4 linked regions of the Arabidopsis thaliana genome follow. The protein of the gene in region 2 interacts with the protein of the main gene of each other region in a biochemical or structural test. Each region holds a gene or a part of one and is shown on either strand. Other genes may lie near its edges.

Region 1 (5,362 bases), on a different chromosome or scaffold from region 2:
GAACTCTGTGACTCAATATTCTAGTAAAATTAACCTCAAAGCTCATAGTTGAAGAGTCAAGAGAGATAATTACTTTCGTCCATGCTTTAAGCTATTGCTTATGACCCAGATCTTCAATTTCCCTGCAATCATAATAAAAACATCAGAATTTCACAAGCAGTAATCAAAGACTAGAGATACATTTCAATCAACACAAGACCAACAATACAAAGTGTGATTCGAAAACCCTAGCAGCAACTAACCAAAACTCACACTATAAATTTCAAATCCCCATCAAATCAATCAGCAACCGCGAAAACTTCAAACTCGAGATACGACTCGTCTCTTTAACAAAAATTGAATGTTTTGAGCTCAGTTGTCTACAGGATTAGCTTTACAAATAAATCAATTCGTCGATCCATCGTTTCATTAAATACCGGAAATTGCTCGGAAAAAAAAACAAAGATCGCAGAGAGAGCTCACCGAAGATAAGAGAATCTAGTGCAAGATTTTTCGAAATGAATCTGGCGATTAAACGAAATCTGAATCTGATAATTCAGACAAAAATCGTGTCGTCTCCTCTTTTTCTTCTTCAGTGTTCAACTTCGTCGGCGCTTTAAATGCGTATAAAGCTGAAGAAGAAGAAATTGAAACTCTTGAGAAAGTAAAAAACACTCTTTTACTAACCAACGCTTACTTCTTTCCTTTTTTATGAAATAAGAATAATAAAACAATGTTATTCGAAGAGATTAAATTTTTCACAAGACTAATTTTATTTATATTCTTTCACATTTAAATATGATATTTACCTTTTTGTGTAATTGTTGAATAATGTTGATGTGATAAAAAGATGATTTTTCTTGGGGATAAAAGCTGCCTTACACACCACTTTACAATTAACTTGTGATATAAGTATGTATTATTTTGTCTTCAATCACCTACAATCTAAACATTCACATGGATTTACAAATTATTGTGACGTTTATTCAACCATCCCATATTCTGGTTGGTTTAGTAGATTTAAACAAAATGAAAAAATTATGGTGATGAAGACTAATGTAATTTTTGGTAATGAAAAAATGATGTCAATACTATTGAAACTATATCACTCTAACGAAAACACACACACAAAGAGAAGTTATGAAACATCAAATAATAACACTAAATATTTACGTAGACGAATGTAGTGTTATTACAACTAACCCCAAGATAAAAAAAAATACAAGGGGGCTTTTTGTTTGGAAGTTACACTATTCCCATGTACATTATATATATCATGTTAGTAAAATAAATATAAAAAGATTAAATAATGGTGGGAAGACTAAGAAAGTAAATAACAAATTTAAGCAGGAAATTAATATTACAATGTAATTATTACCTGTTGTTTTATCTTTCTTTTTTCACTAAAGAGAATTTTTACCCACCATCAAAACTTTTTTTTTCACTTTTCTTCCAAACCTTCTTTTTCAATTCAAGGATTTGCTCTTGAATTTCCTTATTCCCTTCAAATCAACCACTACCACACTTATATTGTCTTTGCTTCCTTTTTGCAAAGCCATCTTCGACAAATACTCTGCCGCGGACATTGCTGCAGGATCTTTTCCTTCTCCTCTTTTCTCCGCCGGAAGCAAAGCCTCTCCGGCCATCGCGTTCTTCTTATGCCATAGTAAAATCCGTTTCCGAGCCAAATCGCACACTTCTTCGTTTGTCATTACATCCCAAAGACCATCACTTGCTAAGATGAGACAATCATCTTCTTTTACTCGCCGCACTGAAGTCACTTCTGGATCCGGAATTACTGACGGTTTAAGGTATCTATCGCCTGTTCGCGACGGGTTGTAATGTAAGGAAACAACTAAAAGAACCAAATTCATGGATCATTATCAAGAGAAAGTTAAATAATTACCAATGGATCTTGACATTGCGAGAACACCAAATACACGAGCCCCGTTCCACCGGATTACTTTCCCACCGGCAGCTTCTATCCTCGCCGCTTCATCATCCCTATCCGGCTACACATAAATGTAGACCCAAACGCTATAAGTACATTAACTAATCTATAGAAACATGCTATGATTGGTAACACCATAACAAAAAACCGCAAGTCCTAATGAATATATGATTGTACTAATTCATTCATAGAAACATCTATACTTACTTTGTGATCAACCGACAACGCGAGTGGCGTTTTGCCGCGACACAAAACCGCCCTAGAGTCGCCGCAATTCGCGACAAAGATGTGAGTCGGAAAGACAACCGCAACCACCGAGGTAGACCCAACAGTTTCCGGAGCATGAGCCACAGTTTCAATCTCCGAGTCAACTCTCATAAAAGAGTTGAACAAAGCCTTCTTCCACTTCTCTTGCCACGTGTCACCGTCACAAAACTCCGGTTTCTCCTTCACTATCTCCTCCGTCAAAGCCAGATGCATCCTCTCACGACAATAATTCGCTACCTAAACACACAAAAACAAATGTCAAAAACCAAGTTTTTGCAGTTTCCGATCATATCATATCGAAACCAAATCGATTCATTACCTGAGAACCGCCATGGCCATCGTAAACACCAAAGAAATGAGCACTCAAGTGAGGATTAAATCCATTAGTGACTCGACCATCAAGCAACGAACTAGAAGAAACTTGAAGGAATCTAGGAATCGTTGAGACAGAATCTTCCATCTCTGGTCGTCTACCACAAATCGAAGTCACTCCATATAAAGGAACACACTTGAACTCAAACAGACTTCTACTCTCTGTTCTACTAAGTACTTTCTTCTCACTCTGATTCATCGATCTCGGATCAAACTCATCTGAACCGTTGATTTCATCTCCGGCGGAGATATCCACACCTGCCATAGCAGATGATGATGATGTCAATGAATCTTGTCTTGTATTGATCTCAAAGGAAGAATCTTTCATAGCTCCGTCGCCAGAACAAGAACTTTCCGGTAAAGTAACCCTAGATTCACCGTTGCAATAGCCTCTAAGTCCGGCGTGAGGGTCAGTGAATGGTCTGAATGGAACAGCGACTGCAGGAGAAACTTCGTCCATTAAAGGAGGAAAAAAAAAGAAAAAAGAACTTTCTTGAACTTTAACAAAAACCCAAATCAGGAATCAAAGTTGGGAAGAGAAAGGAGAGAAATTGAAGTTGGATATCTAAGTATTCAAAGAGACAGATGTTAGATTGTTAAAACGCTTGGGTGTAAGAGAAAAGAACGAAAAGTCAGACAGATTTGAACATAATAAAAATTGATGAGAGTGTTGTTAACTTTATTAGATGAAGATGAAGACAAGAAACTCATGACTCATTAGAGGAAAGTGAAGACAACCTTAGCTAGCACATGAAACAGATAGAGAGAGATTTGTCAATTAAAGAACCAAACACACACAAAAAAGAAAAAGCAAACGTTTTCCCGAGGAAAAAAGGACTAAAATCAGAGTTTCCTGGATTCTGGGCAATTCGTTTCAGCCATTTAGAGATTCTGAACTCTCTCTCTCCCTCAATTAATTTCCAACCAAAAAAACTTTTTTTTCTCTTTCTTTCTCACAAACAAATAGTTTAGGGGATAATCAGTTTTAAAGAGAGAGGTCTTTATTTATTAAAAAAAATAGCACAATGTGAGATGTTTTAGTGAACAACAAAGTAATTAGAAAGACTTAAGGAATTGTGGAAACAAAAACAAAGGGTATTTATTTTATTTTGACTTGATTAAATTTTATTTCTTATTCTATTTACTATCGTGTCACCCCTCCATTATTATTGGGTATCTTTATAGAAGTTTTGAATACAGATGTTTTATACGTTTCCTATTTTACCAAAATATCTTGCATTAAACGTTATGAAATTAGATTTAAGATAAATCCAAACTTTTTACATAATGAGTAATTTACTTATTTCACATAAAAATAATATCTCTTAGGAATTGCTCTTTTCTTTTGAGCTTTAATCAAAATTGGTCGACAAAAAACGTAATTTACTTATTTTATACAAAAACAAATTTCTTTTATTTTATTTTTTGTTTAGTGTAACATGCCATATGTCACAAAAATATATTTTATAGTAAAAGATGAAAACACCAAAAAATATACAAATTATGATACAATTTTTATTAGTTTAGTAGAAAATATATTCATCTACACTGACCACACTAGTACATTAATGCTACTAATAAAAATGAGGTACTATAATAATTACAAAATTTACTGACTAGAGAGCTTGCTCTGATATTTTTGGTTCTAGAGTTCAAAATAAAATAATGACAATCGGGTGGATACCAAAAACAGAAAGGAGGAGAATCAAACTCGAGAAGGCAAGAAGTGTTGTGTTGTCAACAGATGATTCTTTTTACTTCCAAAACAATATTGAAGAAAAAAACAATATTGAAGAAAAATAAAATCATTTTCGAAATAACAATCAAATGGGTCCCATTATTGTCGGAAAACAGACCGGATGATCGCCACGTAGACAGAGAGAAAGTCATTAGATTTGGTGAAGAGGATGGCGTGTACGGTGAGAGATCTGTTAGTTGGGATGGCGGGAAAAGATGAGCCGAAGAGGTTCATTGCACTGACATAGACAACACCTCTCTTTTAACTTCCGTAAATATCTTTGTGTTTCCTTTTTTATTTGGTGTCTGTTTTATTTATTTACTTGTTTTTAAACAAAAATAATAATACGTGTTCCATAATCATTGGACCATGTAATGATATGTGAAGTGAAAGTAGCTTTGGTTGGGCAACAAATACACTGAACCAATCGTATAGTTATATAACTAAAAACGTATATATGAATTTCTGTTTTTATTTATTTATTTACGATTTCATGAATATTTTTTATTCACTGGATATGAGTCATGTGACCTTGATTTTATTTTTATTTTTGAGATATACGTAGATAGATAGACGCATGCAATTTCTTTAAAGTTAATTCATTTTTTTTAGGATCTCTCGCAGCTGTCAGATAAAGTAAAATATCTTTCGATATAAAATAAAAAACAAAACCAGCTCATATTGTATAGTATACTATGTGTCACATATTTTGAGATGATCAGTTGCTACACGGATCTGTTAAAACTTAAAAGGTAGTATTGAATAAAGTGGCGGTCACATAGAAGTACAACTAATATCTATTTGTTAAATTTTGTCAATATGATATCAAATACAAAATGATAATAAGAAAATTATATAAAATTAGACCATATTCTTAAATTTTTATACATAAAGCTAAAACATCTAAACTTCATTACAAGGTAAGAGAAATTTGACGAATCTGGAAGTTATTACTGAGTTATTTTCGCTCGAAATAGTAAGTTACCAACTTACCATTTTTGTGAAGCTGCAAAAATAGTGAGACGTGAATCACCTATTGGACTGGGCTAGGCCCA
Region 2 (5,464 bases):
TTTTGGAAGCTAATATATATATTTTTTGTTTTTGGATAATCATGAATTCAGTTTTATCTAGATTTTGTTTTTCAAAAATATTAACTAACCTGAATATTTTTTGGTACTATATAAGTAAAATTGCGTGGTAGGAAATTTTGACCTAAATCTGTGTTGATCAATTTTAGGTTCTTTCTCAAAACGCATTTTACAAGTAGGGAATAGAATTTGAAGAAGCATTGTGTTTAGGTTAAAAACTGAATCTCTCTATTCATCTTCCTTTTTTATTTTCATATAAATACCGATTTGATTTCATTTTATATCCATTCTTTATCTCTATTAATATATAGGGTTTAGAAATCAGGTGATATTCGCTTGATTAGATTCATCTTCTTATTATGCATTGAGGTTTGTGTTTTCATCTTCACACCTTCTCTAACATATTTGAGTGCAGTACAACGCAATCCACGATTTTGATTGGCTATTCTGATTACTATATTATTTAGAAACCTTAATCTCTTTACTGTTTAGAATTCACATAAAAATTCGTAGGTTGTGATTTTTTTTTTTCAGTTCGTGTATAGACCTAGGCATACGATTTTCCCTTTTGTTTTTGTTTTTTTCATGTTTCGGATTTTCGTGTTTAAGAAAAAGATTCTGTAAATATGTTTGTTTGATTCAGTTTAAAAGGAAAAAATTACATCATGTATTTCGATATATCCTATATTTAAATGTATTTTGTATATATTCTAGAAATGATCAAAAATGTACAATTACATTTTCTTTCTTTCTTTCACAGATTATGATGTTTCATCAAATGGACAAAATATCGACACCATGCGCGGCATGCAAGCACCTGAGGAGAAAATGCACAGAAGATTGTGTGTTTGCGCCTTACTTCCCCTCGACTAAACTGGACAACTACGAAGCGGTTCACAAGGTATTTGGAGCAAGCCATGTGGCTACACTTATCAACAGTCTTCACCCATGCCAAAGAGAATTTGCCATGGACACGCTCGCTTGGGAGGCACAAGTTCAAGCCAATGATCCGGTCAATGGCTGTCTGGGTATCATTTACAACCTCCTTAGTCAGATTAAAGACTTGGAAGAACAACTCGCGATCGTCAAGAACGAACTTGCCTCTTACTGTATCGTCCCCACATTTGTGCCACCACCTTCGATGACGAATCTGGAAATGCATAACAATCCTATGATGATACCGGAACACACACCTAATAACGGTGGTTGTTTAACGGGTCAACAGTTGTATAACGAGGCTCAACGTTTTGCATCCACACAAAGCGCTCAAATGCAAGAGACGCAGATGCAGCACGATGAGGAGAGTTACCGTGACAAAAGTTCTTATCAAAAATTTGGACCATGCTTTAACCTACATTAATCATTATCATATTGAATCTTGATAACAATGGTAAGCTTTTAAAATCTTTTTAAGTCTTGTCTAGTCGTTTGTATAACTACATTAAGATATAAATACAATTATTGTTTTTAGTTAACAAAACATCCGTTATCGTCCAGCGGTTAGGATATCTGGCTTTCACCCAGGAGACCCGGGTTCGATTCCCGGTAACGGAGCTTTTTTTGGTTTTTAAGATTCGAAAAAGTACTTTTTGCCTCATCACTATCTTTACGTTAATAAACTCAGCGGCAGTTCAAGCCGTAAACCTTAACATTTCTAATCAGGATCCTTAGTCAATTTGATTATTTCTTTTACAAATACTCCAACATTCAACAAGGACCTTGTGTAGAACTACACTCTGCCATAACAAAATAATAAAGGTGCACTTGTAGTTATGTACAAACGACTAGACAAGAGTTATAAAATTAGAAAAAGGTTAATGTAACATTGCTGTGTACGTGAAAACGTCTTATATGATCTATAAGAAGCTTTTTTTTGTTCGTGACAAAAACAATTTCTGACTTGGCTCAAAATACGACCACAATCACCCACATAAAGTTGGGATATTTTGGAAGTAAACAAGTACAAGTGAAGGTAAAACAATACATATATACATGAGACATTCACATAATTAATTTAAGAAAGACATAACAATTTACTCACCTCACAATTCGTACTCATTCAATTACAAATTTTAGGAGCAACCAAATTGTGTTGATAATATAGAACAGTAAAATTAATATTGATACCTAAAAAAACCAAAAAAAAAAATATTTGAAAAAAAAAAAAAAAAAATCACCAAAACGCGGCGGCCTTTGTCGTATCAAATCAGATAACTAAAACAAAGAAAACGGTGTCGTTGCAAACATCTCTCTCCTCTTATCTAACTTAGAGAGCGACCAATAATTGCCTTTGTCTTTCTCATTCGTCGTTGATCCATCTTTTTCCCCCAAATTCATATCCTTCCTTAGATATTTTTCTCCTTCTTCTTCTTCTAGATTCCAGCTACTCCAGAAGATTCTTCGACTTAATCTGATGTGATTAGGAAGAGCAATAGAGGAAGAGAAGAATCAGAAAAAATGGATCCGGCGACTAATTCACCGATTATGCCGATTGATTTACCGATTATGCACGACAGTGATCGTTACGACTTCGTTAAAGATATTGGCTCTGGTAATTTCGGCGTTGCTCGTCTCATGACCGATAGAGTCACCAAGGAGCTTGTTGCTGTTAAATACATCGAGAGAGGAGAAAAGGTTTCGTCTTTTTTTTTTTGAATGAAAAAAAGATTTGATATTTATAGGCTTTAGTGATTGATTGATGATCGATTATTTTTAGTTTCCAGATTTAGTAGCTTTCCTTTTTAGAGCTTGTTGATCTAGTGTCTTTAATGGTGGTTACTTACTGTTACTATGATTAAATGCTTTTGAAAAGTTTTGATATTTCTCAATAAATGATGATACTTTTTTTTATGGTTGTTTTGCAGATTGATGAAAATGTTCAGAGGGAGATTATCAATCATAGATCATTGAGACATCCTAATATTGTTAGGTTTAAAGAGGTATAATATAATACACCTTGATGTTTCTTCTGTGTGTGTTTGTGTATTAAGTCAGTGTGGTTTAGAGTTTGTTTTGTGTGTGTTTTTGTAATGGTTTAGGTGATTTTGACGCCTTCCCATTTGGCTATTGTTATGGAATATGCTGCTGGTGGAGAACTTTATGAGCGGATTTGTAATGCCGGACGGTTTAGTGAAGATGAGGTTTGGATTCTGATTTATCGTACTGTGTTGTGGTATTGATGTGTGACTACTGATCTTTAAGTTTTTTTATGTATAGGCTCGGTTCTTCTTTCAGCAGCTTATATCTGGAGTTAGCTATTGTCATGCAATGGTACGCAGAGCAGTGTTCTTGCAACTTACTTGAACTTTTCTCGTTCTCGTGTATACCACTCTGGTTTTAATTCTGTGTTTGATTTTCCTGTGAAGCAAATATGCCATCGGGATCTGAAGCTGGAAAATACATTGTTAGATGGAAGTCCGGCACCTCGTTTGAAAATATGTGATTTTGGTTATTCCAAGGTACTATTTATTTCTCTCAAGGTTTGTTTTCTGAATTCTAAGTTTATATATGCTACTGTATGGCCAAGCGCAGAACAGCGGGGGACATCTTGTGATTCCTCGTTGTGCTTCTTATCGTTCATGCTCTTTACCTACATGTGTTTCCTACTAAGTGTCTGTTTTCGCTTTGATTTCTGCTCAAGTATTAACTATGCGTTTCTTTTCTTCAGTCTTCTGTTCTTCATTCCCAACCAAAGTCAACTGTTGGTACTCCTGCATACATTGCACCAGAGATTCTTCTTCGACAGGAATATGATGGCAAGGTAAGGCCATGAGACCAATTCCTCTGTCTAGAGTTCAAACCAGCTTATCCATATGACTGTTTATACCACAAATATTCTTTGAGTTGTCCTCTGAAATAGCTGGTGTTACATTTTTCCAGCTTGCAGATGTATGGTCTTGCGGTGTAACATTATATGTAATGTTGGTTGGAGCTTATCCATTCGAGGATCCACAGGAGCCACGAGATTATCGAAAGACAATACAAGTAATGTTTTTCAATTGTTCTTGCTGTCTCATTCATCATCATTCACAAACTCATTATCTTTCAAACGTTGATTGTATATGTTTGCTTCTCCACTGATTTTAAAACGCAGAGAATCCTTAGTGTCACATACTCGATCCCAGAGGACTTACACCTCTCACCAGAATGTCGCCATCTAATATCGAGGATCTTCGTGGCTGATCCGGCAACAGTAAGTTTTACATTTCAAAGAAAACTTTGTTCTTTGAGTTCTAAATAGACAAACTGAGAGATCCAATGTGGCAGAGAATCACTATTCCGGAGATCACATCCGATAAATGGTTCTTGAAGAATCTACCAGGTGATTTGATGGATGAGAACCGAATGGGAAGTCAGTTTCAAGAGCCTGAGCAGCCAATGCAGAGCCTTGACACGATTATGCAGATAATATCGGAGGCTACGATTCCGACTGTTCGTAATCGTTGCCTCGATGATTTCATGGCGGATAATCTTGATCTAGACGATGACATGGATGACTTTGATTCCGAATCTGAGATTGATGTTGACAGTAGTGGAGAGATAGTTTATGCTCTCTGAGATTCCTGAGGACAAAGTCTGTTTTGTCCGTACTGTTGAGACACACCACTGGAGTTTTGTCTTAGCTCCACGCACTCCATCGTTCATTTTTGGATCGTTTGTTGTTTTTTACTCTACAAGCTTTGGATTCACATACATATATATGTATTGTAATGTAATATGTAATATATTCTATGTATTTCTCTTTGTTTAATAACTATTGGCACATTTTATACAAATGATATGGTACTAGAAAAAGAAATGTAACTAACCCACAAGGTTCTGAGATGGAGCTTAGCTTGAGTCTTGGTTAAGAATGTTATGATCTATGTTTCACACGACACACGATTTCATGTATAGTGTTATTCGACATCGTGATGGAGGACATGGCTTATGATCATCAGCTTTGATCATGCCGCTAGACATTTGATTAAGATTTGCAATTAGTAAAACTTAAACTGTCTATATTGATGAAAAGATTTAGCATTTTATGATACCATAATGTAGATTTGTGTGTGGATGAAAAATTTGTATAAATATTTTCTACCCTAGATTATGTAAAAGACATGTTTTCTGTGGAGAATGCTTGGTAATGCAATGTCTATTGACTATTGGCAACGACTATTGGCATTACGATAATTCATCAAGGAATCATTACTACTTCTCTCCAATTCATGATCAACTTTTGACACATGACAAAAATCTTCTTCTGTAAAAAAAAAGCTAAAGAGAAGATATTTATGTTACAAAAACTATGTTAATATGATTCGAAAAGTTAAAATAAGGAGAACAAAGAAATGTAACTAATAGTTAAACTTTTAGAGGATTTTTCTGATTTAAAATTAGAACATGTTAAATTTGCATAGGATAAGAATAACAATTTACCTTTTTCGTGCAGTAAGAAACATGT
Region 3 (6,022 bases), on a different chromosome or scaffold from region 2:
GTCCTTCTAACTCTTCTTGCAGACATGTTAGAATCTTGCTTCCCAAGAAACATGAATAACCTGCTTCACAAGGAAACTATAATACTCATAAATGATCTCATGTCTTCTTTGTCACAAAACACCCACAACCAAGATCGATTGTGTTGTTTTTCTTTTGTCTGGCTTTGCAACCTCAGAGAAGAAACAATGAACAATGAAAAGAAACAGAAAATTGTATTGTGAGATGATGAAGCTTTTAGTGGTTTTACAATTTTTCTAATTTTGGAGGGTTTATTTCTCAAACAACTCAACAGTCTTGTGAAACAAACAAACAAGAATGGAAATTTCCACAAGTCTCAACTTATCTTTAATTAGAGAGTGATTTTTGGGAAGTTGCTGGTGAGATCTAGTTTGTACTATAATGTACGCGTTTCGATTAAAATAAAATTCGATTATACATTATCAAAATATTAAATCGATTATTTTATCTTAATCAGTAAAACAAAGTTTTTAGATAAAAATATTAGTAAAACTAGTCAAACATATGGTTTAGTCTTTTAGGTTTATATAGACTAGAGGTTGAACCAAAAAAGAGAGTAAAATAGACTAGAGAATAGAATGTTATGTTTAAACATGATCACACATCTCAATTTACACACATTTACTTAATTTGAGTTTCGATAATAATGCAACAGCAATATATGTATCTACGAATTTGAAATTTATGAGTACAAAATCTAGAGGTGTAACAAAATATTTATTATTTTCGTCCCTGATCAATCAGAGTAGCCACGTGGGCGGGTGGTAGAAATCGAAATTATTGCGATTATTGACTTGGAAAAAAACAAACACACGTTGCATTTTTTGATTTACGTATCCAAAAAGAACAAAGAAAAAAAGGTAAACGACCAAATAATATAATTTTCTGGGGCTGTCGTCTTCCATCTTTATTTCTTCTTGGCGATATCACCATATCTTATACGTCTCTCGAAAGATTATTACTCTTAAGACGATTCCATTAAACACTGATTGTGAGAACTTGTACTTTAACGTTATCGAAAAGTATACATAAATATTTTTATTTTTTTAGGCTGATTCATTCTTACTGATAACAATAATTTTGTGTTATTCTTTCTTACCTAGAGAGTTCTATAGACAAGTTCGTAACTATAAAACCAATCTTTATTTCTTACTCATAGCTTTCAAAACTAAAACTTGATCAGTTTAAATAAAATATATGGGAAATTTTTGCTGAACCAATATATTACGTGTCAAGATTTCATTGATCCTATTAATACAATTTATTCATTTTACAGTTATATCAAATACAAATTACAACTAAGATACTCACTTATCTACACGTCAGATTGTACAACTAAGATACTCACTTATCTATATCTAATTTTCGTGGTTAATATTACATGTCAAAATTTTATGGAAATAATTAGTGTTTTTCTACTTTATATAAATTTTTATGATATATTTTTTTTTTAAAAAAAGGAAAGAGAAAGAAATCAATTTCCATTTGTAAACATATTTTTGGTTCTGAAAATAAATAAATGGGAAAAAAAGGAATTAAATAACATCTGTTGTTGTTAGCTGATCGACAGGTGTTGCCTGAAGCGACCTTAAAAAAAGAAAAAGGACAAAAAGTTGAAGAAAAAAAGAGGACAAAGTTCACAAAATGATACAAAGACTAATACGTGTCCTTTTATTAATCCTCTTTTGTAATAAATACTCTTTTTTCCTATAAATTATATTACAAAACCAAAGAAAAAAAGGAATAAAAAAAAACAGAGAGAAAAAGCAAACCACACAATATTCTCTTCTCTCTCTCTTTGTTTCGCTGATAGAGAGAGCCTCTCTCTAAGCAATTTAGCTCGAGCGAGAAATAATCCTGAGGGAAGAAAATAAAAAGAAGAAGAAGAAGAAGAACATCTTTACTTTTGTTCTCTCTCTCTCTTCTGTTCGATTTTAATTTTTTTGCAGATGCGAATATCTTCTAAAGATTCATCAACTGGTTAGTTCTTTCTCTCTTCTTTTTTCTTTCCTGATTTTTTTATGTTGTTTTTCTGTGTAGTTAGCTTTTCAATCGGAAGATTTTTGCTATTATGTGTCGAATCTCTCTTGTTGTTTTGAGCTTTGTGTTTAGTTTTGCTTAAGAACAAAGTTTAAATTCATCTTTCTATTTCTGGGTAAAGCTAAAGCTTCTTTTTTAATTTAGATCCAAGGAAACCCATGTTCTACTATATGATTATGGACGTTAATGGTTCGAATTTTTTAGGGCTTTCTTGTGATTGATTTCGCTGATTTTCCCTCCTTTTTCTGGTTTTTGTGTGAATTTTCTTTGACATGACCGTTTGGATAATGATTCGTGAGTTTTTGATTAGTGCTTTGTGATCTCTCAATAGGGTTGAAATCAAGATAAGGATTTGAGAAAAGATCGACGAAGTTGTTGCGATTTTGGGATCAAGAGAGTGATATAATCGAGTGAGGAGAATTCGTCGTATAGATTCGTCAGATCTGGTTATCTCCGGTACTTAATTCTCCTTGATTCGTCGTTTTAACTATGCTAAGTTAGTGTATGAATAAAGCGGCATTTGGGTCGCTGACAAAAACTTATTTGGAGCAAGGATTCTTCAACATCATGAAACCATTGCTTAGAGTATTCGAAGAAGAAGATGAAAACAATTGATTTCTCCTAAGTCCATCTTTGAAATTTAAAGCTTTGTTGTGGTGTGGTGTGGAAATCTCTGATTTTGGAGAGCTCATGGAGGAGATGACTCCCGCAGTTGCAATGACTCTTAGCTTAGCAGCCAACACCATGTGTGAATCATCACCTGTCGAGATCACTCAGCTAAAGAACGTTACTGATGCAGCTGACTTGTTATCTGATTCTGAAAATCAAAGCTTTTGCAACGGAGGGACTGAATGCACTATGGAAGATGTTTCTGAACTGGAAGAGGTAGGTGAACAGGATTTGTTGAAAACTTTATCCGATACGAGAAGCGGGTCTTCCAATGTTTTTGATGAAGACGATGTATTGTCTGTTGTGGAGGATAATAGTGCTGTCATAAGTGAGGGCTTGTTAGTTGTTGATGCAGGCTCTGAATTAAGCTTGTCTAATACAGCTATGGAAATAGATAACGGGCGAGTTCTTGCAACCGCGATTATCGTAGGCGAATCAAGCATTGAGCAGGTTCCCACCGCGGAAGTTCTTATCGCGGGTGTAAATCAGGATACCAATACTTCGGAGGTTGTCATTAGATTGCCAGATGAAAATAGTAATCATCTGGTGAAAGGGAGAAGTGTTTATGAACTAGATTGTATACCGCTTTGGGGCACGGTTTCCATTCAAGGGAATAGATCTGAGATGGAGGATGCTTTTGCCGTGTCACCTCATTTTCTGAAACTACCCATCAAAATGCTTATGGGGGACCATGAGGGTATGAGTCCAAGCCTCACACACCTCACCGGTCATTTTTTCGGTGTTTATGATGGTCATGGAGGCCATAAGGTATGCTATATTCACATTTTATGTAAGTTGTTTTAGCAATGTAGATTGTTATACACCTCTTTGAGATGTTCTGGTTAAATTCATAGATTTTAAATCTACAATGGCTTGTAGGTTGCTGACTATTGCCGAGATAGACTCCATTTTGCTTTGGCTGAAGAAATAGAACGTATAAAAGACGAATTATGCAAGAGGAATACAGGAGAGGGTAGGCAGGTGCAGTGGGATAAAGTCTTCACGAGTTGTTTTCTAACTGTCGATGGTGAGATTGAAGGAAAAATTGGTAGAGCCGTTGTTGGTTCTTCTGATAAGGTTCTTGAGGCTGTTGCGTCTGAGACCGTAGGATCAACTGCTGTTGTTGCCTTGGTTTGCTCATCACATATAGTAGTTTCTAACTGCGGTGATTCGAGGGCGGTTTTATTCCGTGGCAAAGAAGCCATGCCCTTGTCAGTTGATCACAAAGTAAAATGAACTTCCTTTTCTTTCCCCAATCTAACTTACAAAGTTGATAAAAGTGTTTTCTTACCTCCTTCCATTTTTCTGCAGCCAGATAGAGAGGATGAATATGCAAGAATAGAAAATGCTGGAGGCAAAGTTATACAATGGCAAGGCGCACGTGTTTTTGGTGTTCTCGCCATGTCTAGGTCCATCGGTAAGCATTGCTTCTTTTGATGACCAGTAATGCACATCACACAAACGTGGCTTGATAATGTAATTACTCCCCTACATGAAACATTAGATCCTCCGGTTTCTTTCCTCCTCTGGAACTATGCAGGTGACAGATATCTGAAGCCATATGTGATCCCAGAACCGGAAGTGACATTCATGCCTCGGTCAAGAGAAGACGAGTGTCTCATACTAGCCAGTGACGGTCTTTGGGATGTAATGAACAACCAAGAAGTCTGCGAAATAGCAAGGAGACGGATATTGATGTGGCACAAGAAGAACGGTGCACCGCCTCTAGCAGAGAGAGGCAAAGGAATAGATCCAGCTTGCCAAGCCGCAGCTGACTACCTCTCAATGCTTGCTCTACAAAAAGGAAGTAAAGACAACATCTCCATCATTGTGATTGACTTGAAAGCTCAAAGAAAGTTCAAGACCAGAACCTGAAGCTTAATTACAAGCAGTACGCTTACTTACTTTTTTTTTTACTGGGGGTAAGTTTCGAGTTTTCGTATAATTTAGATCGTTAAGGATCTAATTTCGACAGGTTTTTACATGTTAATTACTCAATATTGTTAGAAGGGAGAAAAAATAAAGAAAAAAAATGGAAATGCGGGTTGGGGAGGAGAAGTAAAGACTAAAGACTGAAGATTAAGAAGATGATGCATAGCTAATTATAAGTACATTCCTTTTTTTCTCATGGTACTTGAATTCGTATGTATAAGAAGAAATAGGCAGAGAAATGCTTTTTTTTTTTGGGGTATTGAAATAGTTGAATATGTTGTAATAGTTTGAGAGATGTGGCAAATGAAATTGTAATTGAAACTATGTCACATTAACCTTCTTGCATTTGTCTTTTCATGTTGTGTTCTTCGCTGTTCTATAACTTAACGGTGAGATGAGAGTTTATTGGGGGTTTAACCACAGGTCGATTTTTATTTTGATGTTAAGTATTGATAAAGCAATACACTTAGCAAAAGGTGGACGTGCCGGAGTGGTTATCGGGCATGACTAGAAATCATGTGGGCTTTGCCCGCGCAGGTTCGAATCCTGCCGTTCACGTTTTTCATTTTTTTTTCTGTTATCATCACATTTTCCATAACTTACCTTAATCATCTAACATTTTAGAGTCTTTACGAAATGTTAATATTTCTTTTCTTAAATTGAGTAGAAATAGAAATCAACCTCATACCTACAAATGTGGAAGTGACGTGTGAAACCGTAAGTGTATTTAAATCAAACTTAGAAAGCTGTTAATCATTGGCACCACATAAAATCTAGCTTGTGAGAGAAAGTTTATCGTTTTTAGATAAGTTATCAAGATAACAAGACTTGATTAGATTATAGTATGTTGCCTTTGACGGTTTGGCCTGGCCATTTGTAAAAGCCACGACAACACCGGCTCTCATATAATTATTAAAAGACTAATTAGTAATCACGGCCTCAGCTTCACATAGAAAACGTGTTTATTAACACGTTAGACATATGATTCCGTTGAACAATTTTGATTATTTGACGTACCAATCTGTATTTGCTTCATGTAATCCAGCTGTATTAGTAGGCCTTTCTTTGTATTTCCCATTTCCAACTTTCACAAGCAAATACCACCATTTTCCAGCTTGTCTAACAAGTTATTAAAATAAAAATAAAAAATTCCCCCAAAAAAATCATGTGTCAATTGAACCTTCTCTTAGGCATGACCGTATGACCAAAGTTTGGTTCGGATTTTAAAAGATCAAGATTTGACAATTCTATAAAAAAAAAATTTGGGTGTAAATGTCATTTGTCTAGAGTATGGTTAAGATACTAGAACCTTTTTCTTTACAAGTTCAAAATTCAGAATTAAAAAAATGTAAGATTTTCAGA
Region 4 (5,113 bases), on a different chromosome or scaffold from region 2:
ACGAGCTTGTGGACGCCATTGTTGAAAACCCGCCTCCTTGTGCACCTTCCAATCTCTTTTCTCCAGAGTTTTGCTCCTTCATCTCGCAATGGTGAGACAGATTTCGACCAGTTGTCATGTCATTTTTGTTGCTATAACGAGTAGGCATTTGAAATGGTGCTTTAACTTGTGTAGTGTACAAAAAGATCCAAGGGACAGAAAATCAGCAAAGGAGCTTCTGGTGCGTTAATCATATAAGACTCTGAGTCTTTCACCTTGTACTGTCTTGGACTACTTTTAACGATCTTTTTTCTGGTTCCATCTTGGTGAATAGGAACACAAGTTCGTAAAGATGTTTGAAGATTCGGATACAAATCTCTCGGCTTACTTCACCGACGCAGGATCTTTGATTCCCCCACTTGCTAACTAGAACCGAGTTTGAACAATCTTTTAACCTCCAAGTTATTATTTCATATCCACTAGAAGAGATTTTATGAAAGATAAATTTACGAGATGTTATGACTTAAGAGACTTGTCTACAAAATTTGATTTAATGTGTGTACTTTTCACATCACTATTATAAACACAACTATCATCAGTTATGTTTCTCTGCTAGTGGTGGATATACTTATATAGTAGTTCATATCATTATACACATTTTGTTTTGTACATAGTTTAAGTATCTTTCTATTTTCGTATGTAAAGTTTTGAAAGTAATTGCATAAACAATAATACTACATCTTAATGTATGTTGTAACCATATTACAATTAGCCCGGGAAGAAAAATACAAGGGGCTTTTTAGAATGTAGTCAAGACAAAAGAGCTTAACACATTAAGCTTCATTATCTCCATATGGTTATAACTTGTTAGTTAAAAAAATAAGCACAAATTAATAATAGTAAATACTTTTTCTTGGAGAGACCCATATTCATTTTAAAAATTAAGAAAAAGGACCCTCTCTGCCTCAGTTCAAGGGTTTGCTCTTGAGTTTCCTCCGAGGCTTCAAATCAACCACCACCACACTTATGTTGTCTTTGCTTCCTCTCTGTATCGCCAGCTTTGACAAATACTCAGCCGCGGACATCGCCGCAGGATCTTTCCCTTCCTTTCTCCGCTCATCCGCGAGCAACGATGCATCCCCAGCCACCGCGTTTTTCTTGTGCCACAAGAGAATCCGCTTCCTTGCCATCTCACACGCTTCTTCATCCGTCATTACATCCCAAACCCCGTCACTCGCCAAAATCAGACAATCATCTTCTTTTACTCTCTTCACAGCCGTCACTTCCGGATCAGGAATGATGGATGGTTTCAAGTATCTATCGCCTGTCACAATGATAAATGTTTGTAAGAAGAAAGGTTTCTTCTATTTCAAGAACCATTGAGAAGCTTTATGGAGAAATATAATGAAAGCTTACCAATGGATCTCGACATGGCGAGAACACCGAAAACACGAGCTCCATTCCACTGAATCACTTTCCCTCCTGCGGCTTCAATCCTCGCAGCTTCATCTTCTCTATCCGGCTACACACATAACACAAGCACACATCAGAAATGGTTTCATAAACCTCTCTAACTCAACATCTTGAAAACTAAAAACCTATCACAAGTTCACAACCAATCCAACTATAGATCTTGAGTCTATATATGCTTACTTTATGGTCAACGGATAATGGAAGTGCAGTTTTGCCGCGGCAAAGAACGGCTCTAGAGTCACCGCAGTTAGCGACGAAGATGTGAGACGGGAAAACAACGGCAACCACCGACGTTGACCCAACCGTCTCCGGCGCAACTGACTCAATCTCCGAGTCAACTCTCAGGAACGAGTTGAAAAGAGCTTTCTTCCACTTCTCCAGCCACGTATCACCATCGCAGAGCATCGGTTTCTCCTTAGCTATCTCCTCCGCCAAAGCCAAATGCATCCTCTCTCTACAATAGTTCGCTACCTACACAACAACAACCAAATCAGATTCTGCAAACTGTAAACAACCCTAATCAAAAGATCCAATCTTTTACCTGAGAACCGCCATGGCCGTCGTAAACACCGAAGAAATGAGCGGCGGATTGAGGATCAAACCGACCATCTAACATCGAACCAGAGGAAGATTGAAGGAATCTTGGTATAGTCGAAACAGCATCTTCCATCTCAGGTCTTCTTCCACAAATCGAAGTAAAACCATACAAAGGCACACTCTTGAATTCAAACAAACTCCTACTCTCTGTTCTGCTGATCATCTTCTTCTCGCTAGTAATATCTGAGCCGTTGATCTCATCTCCGGCGGAGATATCAACGACGACTATATCAGCAGCTGCTGATTCCTTCATGTTTAAATTAGGAGAATTGATCCGAGAAATCAAAACTTTCCTAGATTCAGAACCATGTGACCCAGAAACAGAGCATGATGAAGTCTCCGGTAACGAAACCATTAGATCTCCGTTCTCGGAATCTTGATTTGAGTATTGGTTATTGCAGTAACCTTTACCCAATCTGATCCCGGTGAAATCCATCTGGGTTTCGGAGAATGGCCTGAAAGGACCTGCGATCGCCGGAGATACTTCCTCCATTAACGGTAAAGATTTGATCTTTTTCTCTGGTTGTGATCTATAAGATAGCTCCAATGGAACAAAAATGAAAATTCGAGAGATTTTCACAAGAGAAGGACTTTATTAGAAGAAGCTAGGAAGACAAGAAGAAACACATGACTCCTATGAAAAAGGAAAGCAAAAACAGAGAGACATATACCCAAAAATATTTCCCGGGAAAATCACAAACACAGAAAGAAAGAAATGAATTGAATTTCAATAAGGGTTTCCTGGATTGTGGGTAATTCGTTAGGACCTCTTGAAAAGATTGGTGTAGTAATATCTCTCTCTCTTCAATTAATTTCCAACTATAAAACTATTTCTAGATTCATCTATATACACCTAAAAAAGTTGAAAAGAAGAGTTCTAATGTGCCTTGTTCACAGATAGAAGAGAGAAAGAAGGAGGAAATGGGTAGGCTAATGCAACAATTGCTTCGAATCTACTATTTATGTATGTATACTTATATACATATCACTTTATTTTATTACATTATTAAAGTGATACTTTTTTTGGCTTATTTATTTTTTGTAATAAGGGGAGATGTTTCGTTCTTGAAATTTTAAACTATTTAATTCATAAAAAGACACTTGCTTCAGACTTCCTATATTCAACATTTTTTTTAAAAAAAATGCTTTTATCATTTCTTATTTTTTTAACAAACATAAAGTTTTTTGGTTTTTTTTTTCTTTGGGAGAAATATATTTCTTTTTTGTTTGTCAAACAAAATAAAATATGTTTGCTTTTAACTTTAGTTAGGTCATCAGTTTAATGGATTTTATATTTTCATAAAGATGACTTTCATTAAATGACGTGTCGTAGTCCGAGTTAAATCTTGTATTGTTTTGCAATTATTTTATTTGTCATATAGTTTTCAATCTAAATAAATAGAGTTTGAATTACGAAAACATTATTCGTAATTCCTAATCATTGGACTAAAAAACACCAAACATAATATACCATTTAGATATTCATAGATTTAAATAAAAATTTTAAATTTGTGTCATTTTCAGAATAAGAACAATACTTTGTCCTTTAGATAAGAATTCAATGTTTTATATTCGGGAAAAATGAAAGACCACCGGTAAAATATCTAAATAATTGTTATTTAAGGGGTACGTTTCATTATTCATCTAATTATTTATCTTGAAAACCATTTTTGGTCAAACTCAAAACCAAAACCATTATGAAGTTATCGTCTCATTTATTTATGTGACCAAAAATAATAACTGAATCTTAGTTGTTAGAAAAATTGGTCTTTGTAGTTTCATACAAAAAATCAAGAAAAGAGATTTGTCGTGCAATTATAAAAATACGTTACAATTATATAAAGCTTTTTCAAATTCCAGTATATAATTTTCTTCTCAATTTATCCTTAAGGGAAATGAAGAGTTGGTCATGGAAGTCCATTAAATTCGACCAAATTTTTAGTTTTTTTTATTGACCAGAAAAGACAGTACAAAACATAAAATTATTGTTGTCGCAGTATATATATAAAATAAAAAGATGATTCCGAAGGTATTTTGATGGATAGACTCATGGACATAATTATGCAACGACCCAAAGAACATGAAAGAATCCGTCCAATTTTTTAAAATAAAATAAAAATGTGAATAGGTCCCACGTTTAGCAGAAAACAAAAACCGGTGGATGGTCGACACGTAGACGAAGAAAATGGGAAGGAGAGAGGGTGACGTGTACGGTTTAAGATGTGTTAGTTGGGTGGCGGGAGAGATTTGATCGAAAGAAAAAAAGGTTCATTGCACTGACAAAGACAGGTCCCCCTTTTATATTATTTTTCTTTCGTCCCATTAAATTCCGTAAATATCTTGTCTTTAAACTCTCTTTTTTCCTCTCCTCATTATTATTCTATTTTCTCTAATATCTCAATAAATATTTATTCGTCAACAGATAGATAAAAAAGAAGTATTTATTCATGTTCCATATGTTTGATGCCACTTGTGCGGTTTTCTTTGGACAATGTGTAATGATATGTTATTCATATGGGAGATGTGTGAAAGTGGGCTTTGGATGATGGGCAAGAGACAAAATACCCAAGACACCTCAAATACAATGTACCAATCATCTACCGTTTTTTTTTTACAAATTATTACAAAAGTAGAAAAAACATTGATTTTTTATTGAAAGCTATTTCTTTTAGATAAACTGAGAAGAAAGCCGAGACAAATATGAACACTAGTAATTTATTTTGTTTAATGTGTGATTAATTGAATTTGTTAGCTTTCCTTGCGATTGCGGGCAAAGTGGATAAGAGAAGTAGAAGTAGGTTTGTTCTAACTCGTAATAAAGTCACAGAACTAATTCTAAAGAACGGTACATATATCATCATTCATAAGTACTTGATGTCTCCCATTTTCGGTGAAACACTTTACTTGACCAGTCTTTTTAATATGCAACAAATCTTGTATATATTCAACATAAAAAAAATGCACCATCATTGGAATTGTTGACCCAACAAAAAAACCCTATAGGCATTAAAAGGCTCTTAGAGGGCCAATTTTGTTATCGGGCCTTCACTTGGCCAGTAGAAAT

The links.
Region 1: the proteins of SNRK2.2 (region 2) and ABI2 form a complex in vitro, tested with the Arabidopsis thaliana proteins (2 studies listed by BioGRID, with this or other methods).
Region 3: the proteins of SNRK2.2 (region 2) and HAB1 form a complex in vitro, tested with the Arabidopsis thaliana proteins (2 studies listed by BioGRID, with this or other methods).
Region 4: the proteins of SNRK2.2 (region 2) and ABI1 form a complex in vitro, tested with the Arabidopsis thaliana proteins (one study listed by BioGRID).

What each region holds. Positions count from the first base shown.
Region 1 is NC_003076.8:23,085,387-23,090,748, reverse strand, and holds ABI2 (Protein phosphatase 2C family protein), read right to left. Parts: upstream 3,628-5,362; 5' UTR 3,030-3,627; coding exon 2,517-3,029; intron 2,435-2,516; coding exon 2,138-2,434; intron 1,992-2,137; coding exon 1,886-1,991; coding exon of another isoform or gene 1,863-1,885; exon of another isoform or gene 1,802-1,862; coding exon 1,446-1,801; 3' UTR 1,121-1,445; downstream 1-1,120. UniProt on the Arabidopsis thaliana protein: Repressor of the abscisic acid (ABA) signaling pathway that regulates numerous ABA responses, such as stomatal closure, osmotic water permeability of the plasma membrane (Pos), high light stress, response to glucose, seed germination and inhibition of vegetative growth.
Region 2 is NC_003074.8:18,740,916-18,746,379, reverse strand, and holds SNRK2.2 (SNF1-related protein kinase 2.2), read left to right. Parts: upstream 1-2,222; 5' UTR 2,223-2,475; coding exon 2,476-2,652; intron 2,653-2,882; coding exon 2,883-2,957; intron 2,958-3,056; coding exon 3,057-3,158; intron 3,159-3,234; coding exon 3,235-3,288; intron 3,289-3,383; coding exon 3,384-3,497; intron 3,498-3,685; coding exon 3,686-3,778; intron 3,779-3,897; coding exon 3,898-4,002; intron 4,003-4,111; coding exon 4,112-4,210; intron 4,211-4,284; coding exon 4,285-4,575; 3' UTR 4,576-4,786; downstream 4,787-5,464. Other genes in the region: LBD28 (LOB domain-containing protein 28), read left to right, coding at 782-1,378. UniProt on the Arabidopsis thaliana protein: Together with SRK2I, key component and activator of the abscisic acid (ABA) signaling pathway that regulates numerous ABA responses, such as seed germination, Pro accumulation, root growth inhibition, dormancy and seedling growth, and, to a lesser extent, stomatal closure.
Region 3 is NC_003070.9:27,388,249-27,394,270, forward strand, and holds HAB1 (HYPERSENSITIVE TO ABA1), read left to right. Parts: upstream 1-1,699; 5' UTR 1,700-1,999; intron 2,000-2,390; 5' UTR 2,391-2,749; coding exon 2,750-3,496; intron 3,497-3,607; coding exon 3,608-3,955; intron 3,956-4,039; coding exon 4,040-4,145; coding exon of another isoform or gene 4,146-4,165; exon of another isoform or gene 4,166-4,268; coding exon 4,269-4,603; 3' UTR 4,604-5,079; downstream 5,080-6,022. Other genes in the region: AT1G72760 (Protein kinase superfamily protein), read right to left, coding at 1-53. UniProt on the Arabidopsis thaliana protein: Key component and repressor of the abscisic acid (ABA) signaling pathway that regulates numerous ABA responses, such as stomatal closure, seed germination and inhibition of vegetative growth. Confers enhanced sensitivity to drought.
Region 4 is NC_003075.7:13,219,287-13,224,399, forward strand, and holds ABI1 (Protein phosphatase 2C family protein), read right to left. Parts: upstream 3,091-5,113; 5' UTR 2,543-3,090; coding exon 1,994-2,542; intron 1,924-1,993; coding exon 1,633-1,923; intron 1,502-1,632; coding exon 1,396-1,501; intron 1,304-1,395; coding exon 945-1,303; 3' UTR 629-944; downstream 1-628. Other genes in the region: MEK1 (MAP kinase/ ERK kinase 1), read left to right, coding at 1-91, 175-220, 314-409. UniProt on the Arabidopsis thaliana protein: Key component and repressor of the abscisic acid (ABA) signaling pathway that regulates numerous ABA responses, such as stomatal closure, osmotic water permeability of the plasma membrane (Pos), drought-induced resistance and rhizogenesis, response to glucose, high light stress, seed germination and inhibition of vegetative growth.